Linked DNA regions of Callithrix jacchus. The protein of the gene in region 1 binds, or shares a complex with, the protein of each later gene. Links are inferred from orthologs where the notes say so. Each region holds a gene or a part of one and is shown in the gene's direction. Other genes may lie near its edges.

Region 1 (4,371 bases):
CTTCGGTGACCCTTTCTGGGCCTGGGATTTTGACACCATCGGCTCTGTTGTTTCTCAGCTGCTGTTTTCTGAAGTCTCAGTTGCCTCACCACATTATCATCGGGGAAAGTGTGGTCTACCTAGAACATAAACTTCCTAGGCCCTGTGTTCCAGTGGGGGTTTCGGTGTTTAGGACAGAGTCCCTTTCCCCTCTGTAGTGTTGGGTGTTCATTAATCACTCTTGAAGAGGTAAGGGGCTGGGCCTCAGCCTCCCCAGAGGCCATCAGTGGAGAAGGGTCTCGCTGACCTCAGATCGTGGGCATTTCCACGGCACACCATCCCTCCCAGTACGCTCTAGCAATAGGAAGGCTGGGAACGCCACCCAAAGCCACACCGTTTTTGCGGTCTGTGTATTTGGACGCCTCCCCAGCACCCAGTCAACGAGTTTCTTTTTCCACAGCAGTCAGTCACTCTCGTGCAGTGTCAGTGATTTATTGGTGTTTCAGCTAACCCGGTTACTCTCCATTTCAGCCATCAAGGTCTAGGGAGCCACTCCATTCCGAGGAGCCCTCAGCCAGCCTCCTTCCTGGTCAGCTCCTCCACTTTGGCCACGTAGGCCCTCATGGCGTCCATCCTGGACAGCCCTTGGTTCGCAGTCCACGCCTCCCACTTGGCCTTGGCTTTCAGGTCAGAGGCGGGAGGCGCGGGGAGGTGGCAGTCGCCCCGGGTGGCCTGCTTGTACCAGCCGTAGAGCAGCAGCTTGTCCTGGTCGCTCAGGGGGCCCTTCAGCTGCTTGAGGGCGGTGCGCGCCAGCTCGAACTCCACTTGGCACATGGGGCGGGAGGCGGCCGGGCCTTTCCGGGCGATCCGGGTGCTGGAGGCCGGAGGTGGGGAGGTAAAAAGGCCGGCGTCAGACCTCCAACTCGGGGGCAGGGGACGGGCGGCGCGTGGAAGAACACGCAGAGTCTGTATTTTCTTCTCCGCGACTGCAGGCCCGGGAGCCAGTGTCTGGGTCTGTCCACGATGTTTCTGTGGAGGAGCAGACGTGAGAAGCGCCTCCGGTCCCAAACGCGGCCGTCCCAAGGGGGCGGCGCGGCAGCGGCGCGCACAGAGTGCGAGCGTAGGACGAGCTGGGCGGGAGGAAGCCGCGCGTGGGGAGGCCGCGCTGGGTGGGGGCGGACAGTGTGCGGGACGCGCCCGGGGTCACCGGATGAGGGTGAATGCGGAGCCGGGGCTCAAGCCGGACGCACTGGGACCCGGAGGCAGGCCCGGGAGCAACGCCCGATACCTGACGGACGGGAGGCCTCTGCGAGGAGGCGGTGCTGTGGCTCTGCGCGCTCCTCCGTGAGGACTGCGCTTGCGCGGGGGGCTATGGGCGGGGACTGAGCACGGCCGCCGTGGCGCCTGCGCCGCCCATTGTGCCGTGCGTTCGTCGCCGCGCCCGCGTTCTCTGAGAGGGAGAGCCAACCCCGCGCAACCGCCCGCGTCGCTACCATGGACCTAGGTGGGTGCCGCGCTCCCTGCCCGGGCTGCGTCCCTCCACGCGTCAGCAGGGCGGTGCTCCCTGGCGCGTCTCCTCCCGCTGCGCGCACTGATGGGCCCAGGCGGAACGTCCTCCGCGTCGGGGCGGGTCTGGGGTTCCGGGTGGCTTTGGCTGGGGACCCGGGCCCGGCCTCGGGAGTCGCGCCGCGGAGTGAGGGTGGAACCCTCTGGGCCGGCGCACGTGCTATGGAAGCGCGGCTCCTTCAGCGCCCGGACTGCCGCGCTCCTGAAAGGCGCGTGTCTCCTGTCGTCCGGCTTCGTCTCGGCGGAGCGGGAGGGGGACGGTGCGTCTGCCCCCGAGGGCTGCGCGACTCTCCACGGAGGCCGCGGGCGTCCAGGTCCCGCGCAGAGTTGCCGGGGCGGCTGCGCGCCTCGGAACCGGAGTGGTCGGGGCCAGGCCCGGAACACGGAGCAGGTGGGCGGGCGTCCGGAGAGCTGGGGCCGCGGCGCTTCGGCACCAGCTCTCGGGAGCGGAATGGCGTCCGGGCACCCTGAGAAAAGCGTTTCTGCAGCTTCGTGTTCGGGCCTTGAGCGGGAACGGCGTTGTCAAGGTGGTCGTGATGCGTGAGGTCTCGCATGTGACCCGGCGCGGGGCTGGCGCGGTGAGCGCGGAACCACCCGGTAGCCCTAGCTCTTGGCTCTGGCGCGCGCTGGGCGCCGTTCCTGACCGAGCGCCGGCGGGTTTTCCAGCCGTCACTGCCCTGGCGCTACTGCTGCAAATGCGGCGGACTGCCTGCGTTTGGAAGGCGCGCGTGGATGGCCAGACATTGGCCCAAAGAAGCTGATAACGCAGTAAAATTAAATTTGCAGCGCTAGGGGGGGCCGCATTTTGGGGTTTGGGCGAGCCTCCTGACGGTAACCCTAGCGAGATCCCTCTGCAGCCTCGGCCTCAGCCACTGTGAGCTGAGGTGGATTTTCTCCGCAAATGGGTTACATGGGAGTGCTGAGCGCTGGGCCTGTGGCTGCTCCCACACATGGTGGCAAGGGCAAGACAGTCCTTAGTCTCCTGGAATCCGTGTTATCTCTGCTGATGTCTGGCCTGTAAAATGGAGACTGAGCTCTCAGGGGCATGAGAGACTGAGGAAGAAGCATCTCTTGGTCCTAGAAAAGGGAGAGGACTCAGGAGTGGGGAATAGTGAGCAGTGTCTATCCTGGGAAAGGGAGAAGACTAGGGAGTGAGGAATGGTGAGCATTGTCCCGATCCTGGGAAAAGGAGAGGACTCAGAAGTGAGGAAAAGTGAGCAATGCTTGTACCCTCGTTTTACTTCCTGGGCCAAAGGAAACATACCTGATAAAAACCTATGTCCTTTGATGTTTCTGAGCTGGGGCAGGCAAAGAACAGTGACAGGGTTTTGATCCTGCCAATGATGAGAAGGTTTGGGGAAACCAACATTGACTGAGCCCTGATCAGGCTCTGTAACCTGATTCTTAGTGTAGCTGTATCACATTTATCCATCACAGCGTCTCCAGGAGATGGGGTCAGGAGATAGCAGTACTAACCCACTACCAGGGGCTTGACTGGTATGCATCATATAATCCTCAGAGTCGTAACAAGAAGTCTGTATTATCCCCAAAGCTGCAGAAGGAAGGCTTGGAGAAGCAATCTGACCATGATCACATCCCTTACCCACCCCCCTTTTTTTAGGGGTCTGGGGGGGTCTCACTATGTTACCTTAGCTAGTTTTGAACTCCTGACCTCAGGGATCCACCTGCCTCAGCCCCCCAAGTAGCTGGGATTAGAAGTGCTAGCCACTGCACCCCTGGCCAGAATCACATTACTTTTAAATGGCTGATCTAGGAATCAAACCTATGTTTGATTAAACATCCCAAGATGTAAGTCTGTCAGTTATTCCTTCTCTGCAGGAAGGACTTAATTTAATGAAGTATTTTCTGTATCTACTCCCTGGTTTCTCCCACAGAGCCTGGGCCATGAGTAGCTTGTCTTTGGAAGGAGCTGTGGGGTGGACTGTTTCCCTGAAAGGTAGAACAATGTTTGAAGCCTGCTCCCAAGGCAAGGTTATGAAGGGCGAAGGCAGGGCTTGTCTGATTGCTTCTGTGCCCATTACCTGTGGCCATGTGATTGCTTCAGTGCTCATTACGCTATGGCTGTGTGATGGCTGCTGTGCCGTTACCCTGTGTCTGTGTGATGGCTGCTATGCCCATTACCCTGTGGCTGTGATTGCTGTTGTGCCGTCACTCTGTGGCTGTGCCCATTACCCTGTGAATGTGTGATTGCAGCTGTGCCCATTACCCTGTGGCTGTGTGATTGCTGCTGTGCTGTTACTCTGTGGCTGCATGATTGTGGCTGTCCTCATTACCCTGTGGCTGTGTGATTATCACTCTTCCCCCTTCATCTGTCATGAGAAACTCAGCTGTCATGTCCTGTGGTACATGCTCAATAGCTCTGTCGTTTGTACTGTCCTCGTGCTATTTCTGAACCTCTCTCCCCACATCCTCCTCTGGCCCATCCTTTGCTGAAGGGTTTGCCCTCAGCAGCCCAGCTTGTTCTTTTTACTTTTCCTGAGGGATCTCATTCTCTCTTGGTTCCGGTGATCCCCTTCTGGGCACATGCCTCTCAGAGTCACATTTCCCAGCTGACTTACCCCCTGAACTTCCACCCGGCATTGCAACTGCTGAAGGACATCTCCTCGATAGCCAAAATCCAGAATCACATTTCCCAGCTGGCTTTTCTCTTCAACTTGCATGGGGCATTTCCACTGCTGGAGAACATCTGTGCCTTGATAGCCAAAATCAAGCTTGTCTCTTCTCAAACCTGTTCCGATTCTCCTCCTTCCCTGTATGTGACGCCACCCGGGGTCCTCCCAGTTCCCACTCTAGAGAGCTTGGAAG
Region 2 (3,648 bases), on another chromosome or scaffold:
GTACCAATGCAGAGTAATGTGCAAGGTGATAGGTACAAATAAAAGTTGTTTTGTTAAGGAGATTATATTGAGCTGAATGCTTCTCCCAACTAGTCCTGCTTTTTCTGTCTGGCAGCAGAGAGTAGATCTGTTTCTTCTTGGATTGGACAGCCCTTCAAACATGTCAAATATGTAATCATGTCTCTGTATATGAGATAAACATCCTTCATTCCATTAAGCATTCTTGGTGCATTTTTTCCCCCGTACTTGTTTCTGTCTTTATCATTCTCTTTTGGACACACCCTTATCTGTCAGTGTCCATTAGTCTGGTCCAAACTAAACACATCTTAGCTGGGCACAGTGGCTCACACTTGTATCCCAGCACTTTGGGAAGCCAAAGCAGAAGAATTGCTTGAGGCCAGGAGTTTGAGACCAGCCTGGTCAACATAGTTGAGACAACTATCTCTGCAAAAAAATTTAAAAATTAGCCAGGCGTGGTGGTACGTGCCTGTAATCTCAGCTACCCAAGAGGCTGAGGTGGCAAAATTGCTTGAGCTTGGGAGATTCAGGCTGCCATGAACTGTAATCATACCTTTGCACTCCAACCTAGGTGACAGAGGAAGACCCTGACTCAAAAAATATAATAATAAAATAAGAAAAAACAACATGTCCCACATATTGTATAGCCACTTAGGCAATATGTTTGCCAGGGCTGCCGTAACAGACTAGGTGGCTTAAACAACAGAAATTTATTTTCTCACAGTCTTGAAGGTTGAAAGTCCAAGAACAAGGTGGCAGCAAGTTTGGTCTCTTCTTCTTCTTCTTTTTTTTTTTTTTTTTTTGACAGAGTTTCACTTTTGTTGCCGAGGCTGGAGTGCAATGACATGATCTCAGCTGACTTCAGCCTCCACCTCCTGGGTTAAAGCGATTCTCTTGCCCCAGCCTCCGAGTAGCTGGGATTACAGGTGCGCGCCACCATGCTCAGCTCATTTTTTTTTGTAATTTTAGTACCAAAAAAAGGTAGGGTTTCACCATGTTGGCCAGGCTAGTCTCAAACTCCTGACCTCAGGTGATCTGCCCACGTTAGCTTCCCAAAGTATTGGGATTACAGGCATGAACCACCATGCCCAACCTAAGGTTGGTATCTTCTAAGGCTTTTTCCATGGCTTGCATATGGCCACCTTCTCCTCTTTTCTGTGTGTGTGAGAGTCCCTGGTTCTCTCTTTGTGAGTTCACATTTCCTCTTACAAGGACACTAGTAAGATTGGATTAGGGCTGACCCTAATGGTCTCAATTTAAATTAATCACTTATTTAAAAGCTCTGTCTCCAAATACGGTCACATACTGAGGTACTGGAGGTTAGGGTTTTAAAACCCTACAAATTTTGGGGACAGAGATTCTCCCCGTAACTGGCACCCTATCTTTGGGTTGAAGTAATGGGAATATGGGAGACTCTAACTTATTTTGTTTACTGTTCTGTGTAAAAATTAATACACAGGAATAAATCTGTTTTTGTTTTTATCTTTTTTTTCTTTCAGCCAAAATCTGAAGATGAAGAAGGCTGGAAGAAATTTTGTCTGGGTGAGAAGTTATGTGCTGACGGTGCTGTTGGACCAGCCACAAATGAAAGTCCTGGAATAGATTATGTACAAGTAAGGGCTATGTCAATAAACAGAACAAAAAGCATTTTAATTTTGGTGCATCACTTAATATAAGGGGTCAGCAAACTACATCCTGGGCCAAGTCCAGTCCTTGGCCTTCTTTATATATCCCATGAGCTATGGATGGTTATTAGGTTTTTAAAGAGTTGTAAAAAAGAAACCAATAATATGTGACTGAGACTGTATGTGGCCTGCAAAGCCTAAAATATTTGCTGTCTGACTCTTGAGAGAAAATGTTTGCCAACCCAGACTTAGTTTAATAGCTCTTCCTCCTAACAAAACAGCCGTGACTTTTTTTAGGTTCACTTCATATCCCTTATATTTGGCTATATATCATTTTATGAGTTGGATAAGATTCAGGTTTTTTTAAAATGATGAGGCATTGGGCAAACAATGTTATGAGTAGCCATGAAAAAAATGGAAAACGACACAATTAGGCGCTTTAAAACACATAATCACATTTATCACTTCATGGGCTTGTAAAAAATAAAGTAAATCACATAATTTGAAGATGAAATGTTGAGGATATGTTTAAAATTCACATGGCTTTAATCATAAGTTATGGAGCCAACTCCTTGTCCTTTAGGATTCGCCTGTCCCCAAGTTTGCAGGTGTTCCTTTAGAATCCAGTGTGTGCCTCTGCATTAGTGCTTACTCTCTATATCATGTTGTTCTCTTCAGTTCAACAGGTATTTATTATTTGCTATATGATGCCACATTGTGTTTTTCCCATTTAATACTAATTTTTCCCAAAGATTGAAAGAGCTCCAAGTATCAATAAAAAAAACAAAAATCACTCCTCCCCTGCCCAAGAAAAAACAGGCAAAGGATGTAGATACCTCACAGAAAGGAAATAAAATTATTCTTATATGACAAGATGCCAAAAATCACTTGTAATAGAAGCATAACCTAACCATGCCAAGGTGCTATTTTTCAGGTAACGTATTGGCAAAGAAAGTTTGATACACCATATTAACAAGAGCTGGGAAAACAGGCACTCTTTCTTACACATGGTACAGGAGTGTAAATAGACTCAATCTTAGGGAAGGTAATTTGGTACTGTTTCTATATAACCAATTGATCTTTTGGATGATATCCTTAATATATGTTACATTTCAAAAATGGTTTTCTTTATATATATATATTTGATGAGACAGGGTCTTCTTCTGTCATCTGTGCTATAGTGCAGTGGTATAGGTCATAGCTCATTACAGCTTCAACCTCCTGGGCTCAAGCAATCCTCCCACATCAGCCCTCTACATAGCAGGGACAGCAGGCACCACCACACCTGGCTAATTTTTTAATTTTTTGTAGAGATAAGTTTACTAATATAAACATTTTTAATTTTTTATAAAATTTTTTATAAATTTTTTTTAGAGATACGTTTTTGCCATTTTGCCCAGGTTGGCCTGGAACTCCTGGGCTCAAGCAGTCCTTCTGCTGGGATTACAGGCATGAGCCATTATGGCTGACCAAAAATAATTTTTAATTTAATAAAGAATTAAAACTTCCTTATTTAGCTTATTTTCAGAGAATACAGGCAAGTAAAATATACCATGTTAAAATTTTAAAAAAACCCTTAAGAGTTAATGTATATCCTCTTAAGTTTCTCACAAATCAATGGTATTTTCATAATTAGGAATTACAGCCTCAGACTCCAAAGTACACTTTTAAAATGTGAATCAAATTAGATTTTTAAAATGTCATTTTAATTGAAATGTCCTTAATTCTTGAGAATGTTAGCTTTAGGCTGGGCACGGTGGCTCAAGCCTGTAATTGTAGCACTTTGGGAGGCAAAGGTGGGTGGATCACCTGAGGTCAGGTGTTCAAGACTAGCCTGGCCATCATGGTGAAACCCCATCTTAAAAAATAAAAAAATAATAATAAATTAATTTTAAAGAAAAAGAGAATGTTAGCTTTAGCTGAAAATTTTGTAATGTTGTGTACAATATATTAATGTTATCCTATCAATGTTACAGTTTTATTGAATATACTTAATAACTTAGTT
Region 3 (3,648 bases), on another chromosome or scaffold:
AATTATTTTTTTAAAGAGATTCAAATTTTGCAACTTTAAATGTAGTAAATACTCTTGTAGAAAGACTGGACGATATAACAATTGAAAAAAATGTACTCACAATATTATAACCATAGGTGCAAGAATGTTAATGGTAGCTATATTTTCTGCTAGTCTTTTTTTCTATGTTATGTATGTGGGTATACAGTATTTGTGTGTTTTTCTTTAATTACTAGGACCATAATAAATGTCATTTTGATTTTTTAATTTAAAAATATTATTAGCTATTTAAAACTTCTGAGAAAACATTTTTAGTTGATACACTATATTGCATTATAGGTTGTCTTAAATTATGCGTTAGTTTCCCTATTTTAGTACTGTGGTGAATGCCCTGGTACATCTCTGAGTGTTTCTTCACAGGAGATAGGATCCTGTAAGTAGAATTATCAGTTCAAAGGGTAGAAATGGGTTTAAAGTTCTTAGTTACACATGACACTTAATTGATTTCCGTAAAGATTATACCACATTACACTTTGATTGGTATTTGACCAGTGTCTTAACCGTGTGTTTAAGGGGCTACTTGCAGAGTTAAACTTCACTAAACTGGGAGAAGGAAAGAAAAGGCAGTAAAACTGGAGGAGAGCAATTAAGAATGTCAAGGAGTTTGTACACATAGAGTGAACTGATAATAGTAGAATACTGTTGCCTGGAGCTGTCAATTGGTATATTAATGCTGTTCATTCACTTCTGCAGTTGGACAAATCCCATGTTGGTGGCAGAAGTTTTCTGGCACATTGAATATTCCAGCATTTGAGCCAGACCTCGTTATGTAGTGATCCTGCTTAAGTCATGACTAACTTTAATTATCGTGCTTTAAAGTATATGATGATGGGAAACATTTAGGAGCTGGGTTACTATAATGCTTTGTATTGGAGGCCTTTCGTGAGTTTTAGGGTTAAACTGAAAAAGAGCTAATGTCCAGACTGTAATTAATTTTAAGATGAAGCTATTATTGTGCATTGATTTTTGTTATGTAACTAGAGCCCCAAATTTTGTTAGTTTTTTATTGGCTTATAGTAAAAACTTTTTAGCAGTTTAAATTTTATGACACTGAAAGTTTATCTTGCTGAAGAGCTTAAACCCTAAGCAGTTGATAATAATATATAAATAATCCTCTATATTAATTCATTATCTACTGTGAAAACGTTTTCTACTTACAAAGATAATATGTGCTTGTAGAAAAACGAAACAATATAGGTGAAATTTATTTAAAAGCAAAAAGCCCAATGTATTACTCATACTGTTTTAATTAGCCAGCACTCATTTCCAAGAAGACGTTCACTGCATAAACTGGGTATCTCTCCTTCAAAATGTCTTTGTATTCCTGAGATGAGCTCCACTTGGGCATAGTATACATCTGAATTTTTGTTTTGCTAATAGAGCTTTTTTATATCAGTGTTTATGTTTGAGTAAATGTATATTTAATTGTTCCTTGGATTTCAGAATTTAAGAATCGTTTAAATAACTCATTATTTTCTCGTATTATTTATACAATATTCAAGATTTGTAAATACGACTTAATTTTTTTTTCAGTTTGGACCCAATTAAATCCTTTGAAGCTCCTGCAACCATCAATTCTGCCTCTCTTCATCCTGAGAAAGAATTTCTTGTTGCAGGTGGTGAAGATTTTAAACTTTATAAGTATGATTATAATAGTGGAGAAGAATTAGGTGAGTTGTTCTCTGTGTCCTCCCTTACAGTGATGTGATGACCTTTATCATATGTTAAGTTCCAGTAATTAACACCTCATTTATATAACATGCTGAAAGCCAGTTTTCAGCCAACTTAATGCTTGGTGCTTATAAGTGAAAAAGTAAAGGAATTTTAACCATTTGGGTTAGATGCTTTTATCTATCTGTAAACAAAGTATGCAGAAATTTGTCCTTCTAACTGAAGTTCATCATTATGCTGATATTATGCATTATAGTACCATGATTTTTAGGCTTTCTTGGCTGGGAGGGAGGGGGGAATCTTATGTCAAATCGCATGTTAAACAGATGCAAGGAGATCCACTGTTTCTGAGGTATGTTGTTGGTATGTAACCCCGTCTACTTGGCCCATCTTCCTTTTGGCCAACTTAGGAATCCCTAAGACTCTATAAAGAACAGTGTGTGGGGGAAAAACCACTATAGCATATTGCAGGGATACCTTTAGGAATCTGAATTGGAGAGTTATTTTTCTGATTTTTATTTATTTTATTCTATTTTGGGGTTCAGTTTTGCTTTCATTTTTATAGTAGTCCTTTGTAAGGGGAAAGAAAAGGCCTGCGGATTAGTTTGAAGTTAACAGATATTTATCTGATGGACCAGATATTTCACATAGTTAGTTACATGTGGTTCTCAGTGTCTACTTTTAGCCTTCCCAGATAGTTTTTGCTTTTAATTAAGAAATATATTTAGCTTTTCTAAATATGTGTTTTTGTCTATAAGCTGTCACTTCTTGTTCTTATCTGTTTCTAGCTGTCCTGCTTTACCACTCAAAGAACTGAGCTTGCTAGAATTATACACAAAGAACAAAAGACAATTTTTTGTGTTTTGTTTCTTGGGGAACATTGACTTGTCTGGGTTGCACAAATGGAACCTTGGTGATGGACCGTGTGGAATCTATTTTAATTGCTTACAGTTCAGCTTTTATTGCTTGAATACGAGTGACTTATAAATAAGATATTCTTTTCTGTTACTTTTATTTAATGCCGGTTTTCAAAGCTTTAGAATGTTTTGGTTCCGTATTTTATTCTTTTTCAAGATGAGAAAACTAAATTATTATTTGCCTGAGATCTGAAGTCACAGTGAATACCAGACCTGCCCAACCTTTTTCTTTCCAAAACCCGTGTTCTTTCTACTCTTGCAACTTTTCTATTCTCTGGTTGGACAGAGATCGGAGACCGAATAGGAACGTTGGTCCAGTAAGGAGCTTTGAGAACTGGTTAGGTGATGAGGCATTAGGAAGTAAATGAGAAAGGTTCATACATAAAGGTACTACTTGAATATAACATCGCTCCTAATGTGTACATTTTCTCGTTAGGTTCCATAGATTAAAATATTTATGGATCAGTGTTGATCCTGTATCTCACCTTTCTGTGTGACAGTGGACTGTAGATAGCCTGGTAGGAAATCAAGAGGCAAAGTGTGTGAACGAGCTCCATCTGGTGGCTCTCCAGAGTCATGATAAAAATTGGTTTTCTGAGAAATAGGCAGTTAGTTTAGGAAATTGGAGATTGAACTATAAGATTTAAATCTACTTCCTATAGAATGTATAGGGTGTTCATTTGTCTCTTTTTCTCCATTCTTAATGAGACATGAAGCCTCATTTGCTTTTTTAAAGAGACACTGCAACTAGAATGTGTGCTAGATTTGGAAAGGAGTAATCTTACAGAGAAATGGTCAATGATGTACCACTTTTGTGATGAGAAATTATTTTTAATTAAGTAAAGTTTTTAATGTTTGTACTTAAGAATTTTTCATCTCCCCAGAAACACAGACAGTATTTTTTTTTTTTTTACCATATTAATATTTAACCTAATAGTTAAAAATATCTAATAGCCTTCTTCTTTCTCAGAATCCTACAAGGGACACTTCGGTCCTATTCACTGTGTGAGATTTAGTCCTG

The links.
Region 2: GEMIN4 (region 1) and GEMIN2 share a complex: the UniProt entries of both Homo sapiens proteins name them as parts of the SMN-Sm complex. The link is inferred for Callithrix jacchus from reciprocal best matches to the Homo sapiens genes GEMIN4 and GEMIN2.
Region 3: GEMIN4 (region 1) and STRAP share a complex: the UniProt entries of both Homo sapiens proteins name them as parts of the SMN-Sm complex. The link is inferred for Callithrix jacchus from reciprocal best matches to the Homo sapiens genes GEMIN4 and STRAP.

What each region holds. Positions count from the first base shown.
Region 1 is NC_133506.1:63,630,055-63,634,425, forward strand, and holds the start of GEMIN4 (gem-associated protein 4), read left to right. Parts: upstream 1-1,473; coding exon 1,474-1,936; exon of another isoform or gene 1,937-3,399; coding exon of another isoform or gene 3,400-3,532; exon of another isoform or gene 3,533-4,371. Other genes in the region: diazepam-binding inhibitor-like 5, read right to left, coding at 550-813; uncharacterized protein LOC118153659, read right to left, coding at 890-1,008, 1,268-1,475. UniProt on the Homo sapiens protein: The SMN complex catalyzes the assembly of small nuclear ribonucleoproteins (snRNPs), the building blocks of the spliceosome, and thereby plays an important role in the splicing of cellular pre-mRNAs.
Region 2 is NC_133509.1:73,786,659-73,790,306, forward strand, and holds part of GEMIN2 (gem-associated protein 2), read left to right. Parts: intron 1-1,517; coding exon 1,518-1,631; intron 1,632-3,648. UniProt on the Homo sapiens protein: The SMN complex catalyzes the assembly of small nuclear ribonucleoproteins (snRNPs), the building blocks of the spliceosome, and thereby plays an important role in the splicing of cellular pre-mRNAs.
Region 3 is NC_133510.1:7,410,915-7,414,562, reverse strand, and holds part of STRAP (serine-threonine kinase receptor-associated protein), read left to right. Parts: intron 1-1,572; coding exon 1,573-1,709; intron 1,710-3,597; coding exon 3,598-3,648. UniProt on the Homo sapiens protein: The SMN complex catalyzes the assembly of small nuclear ribonucleoproteins (snRNPs), the building blocks of the spliceosome, and thereby plays an important role in the splicing of cellular pre-mRNAs.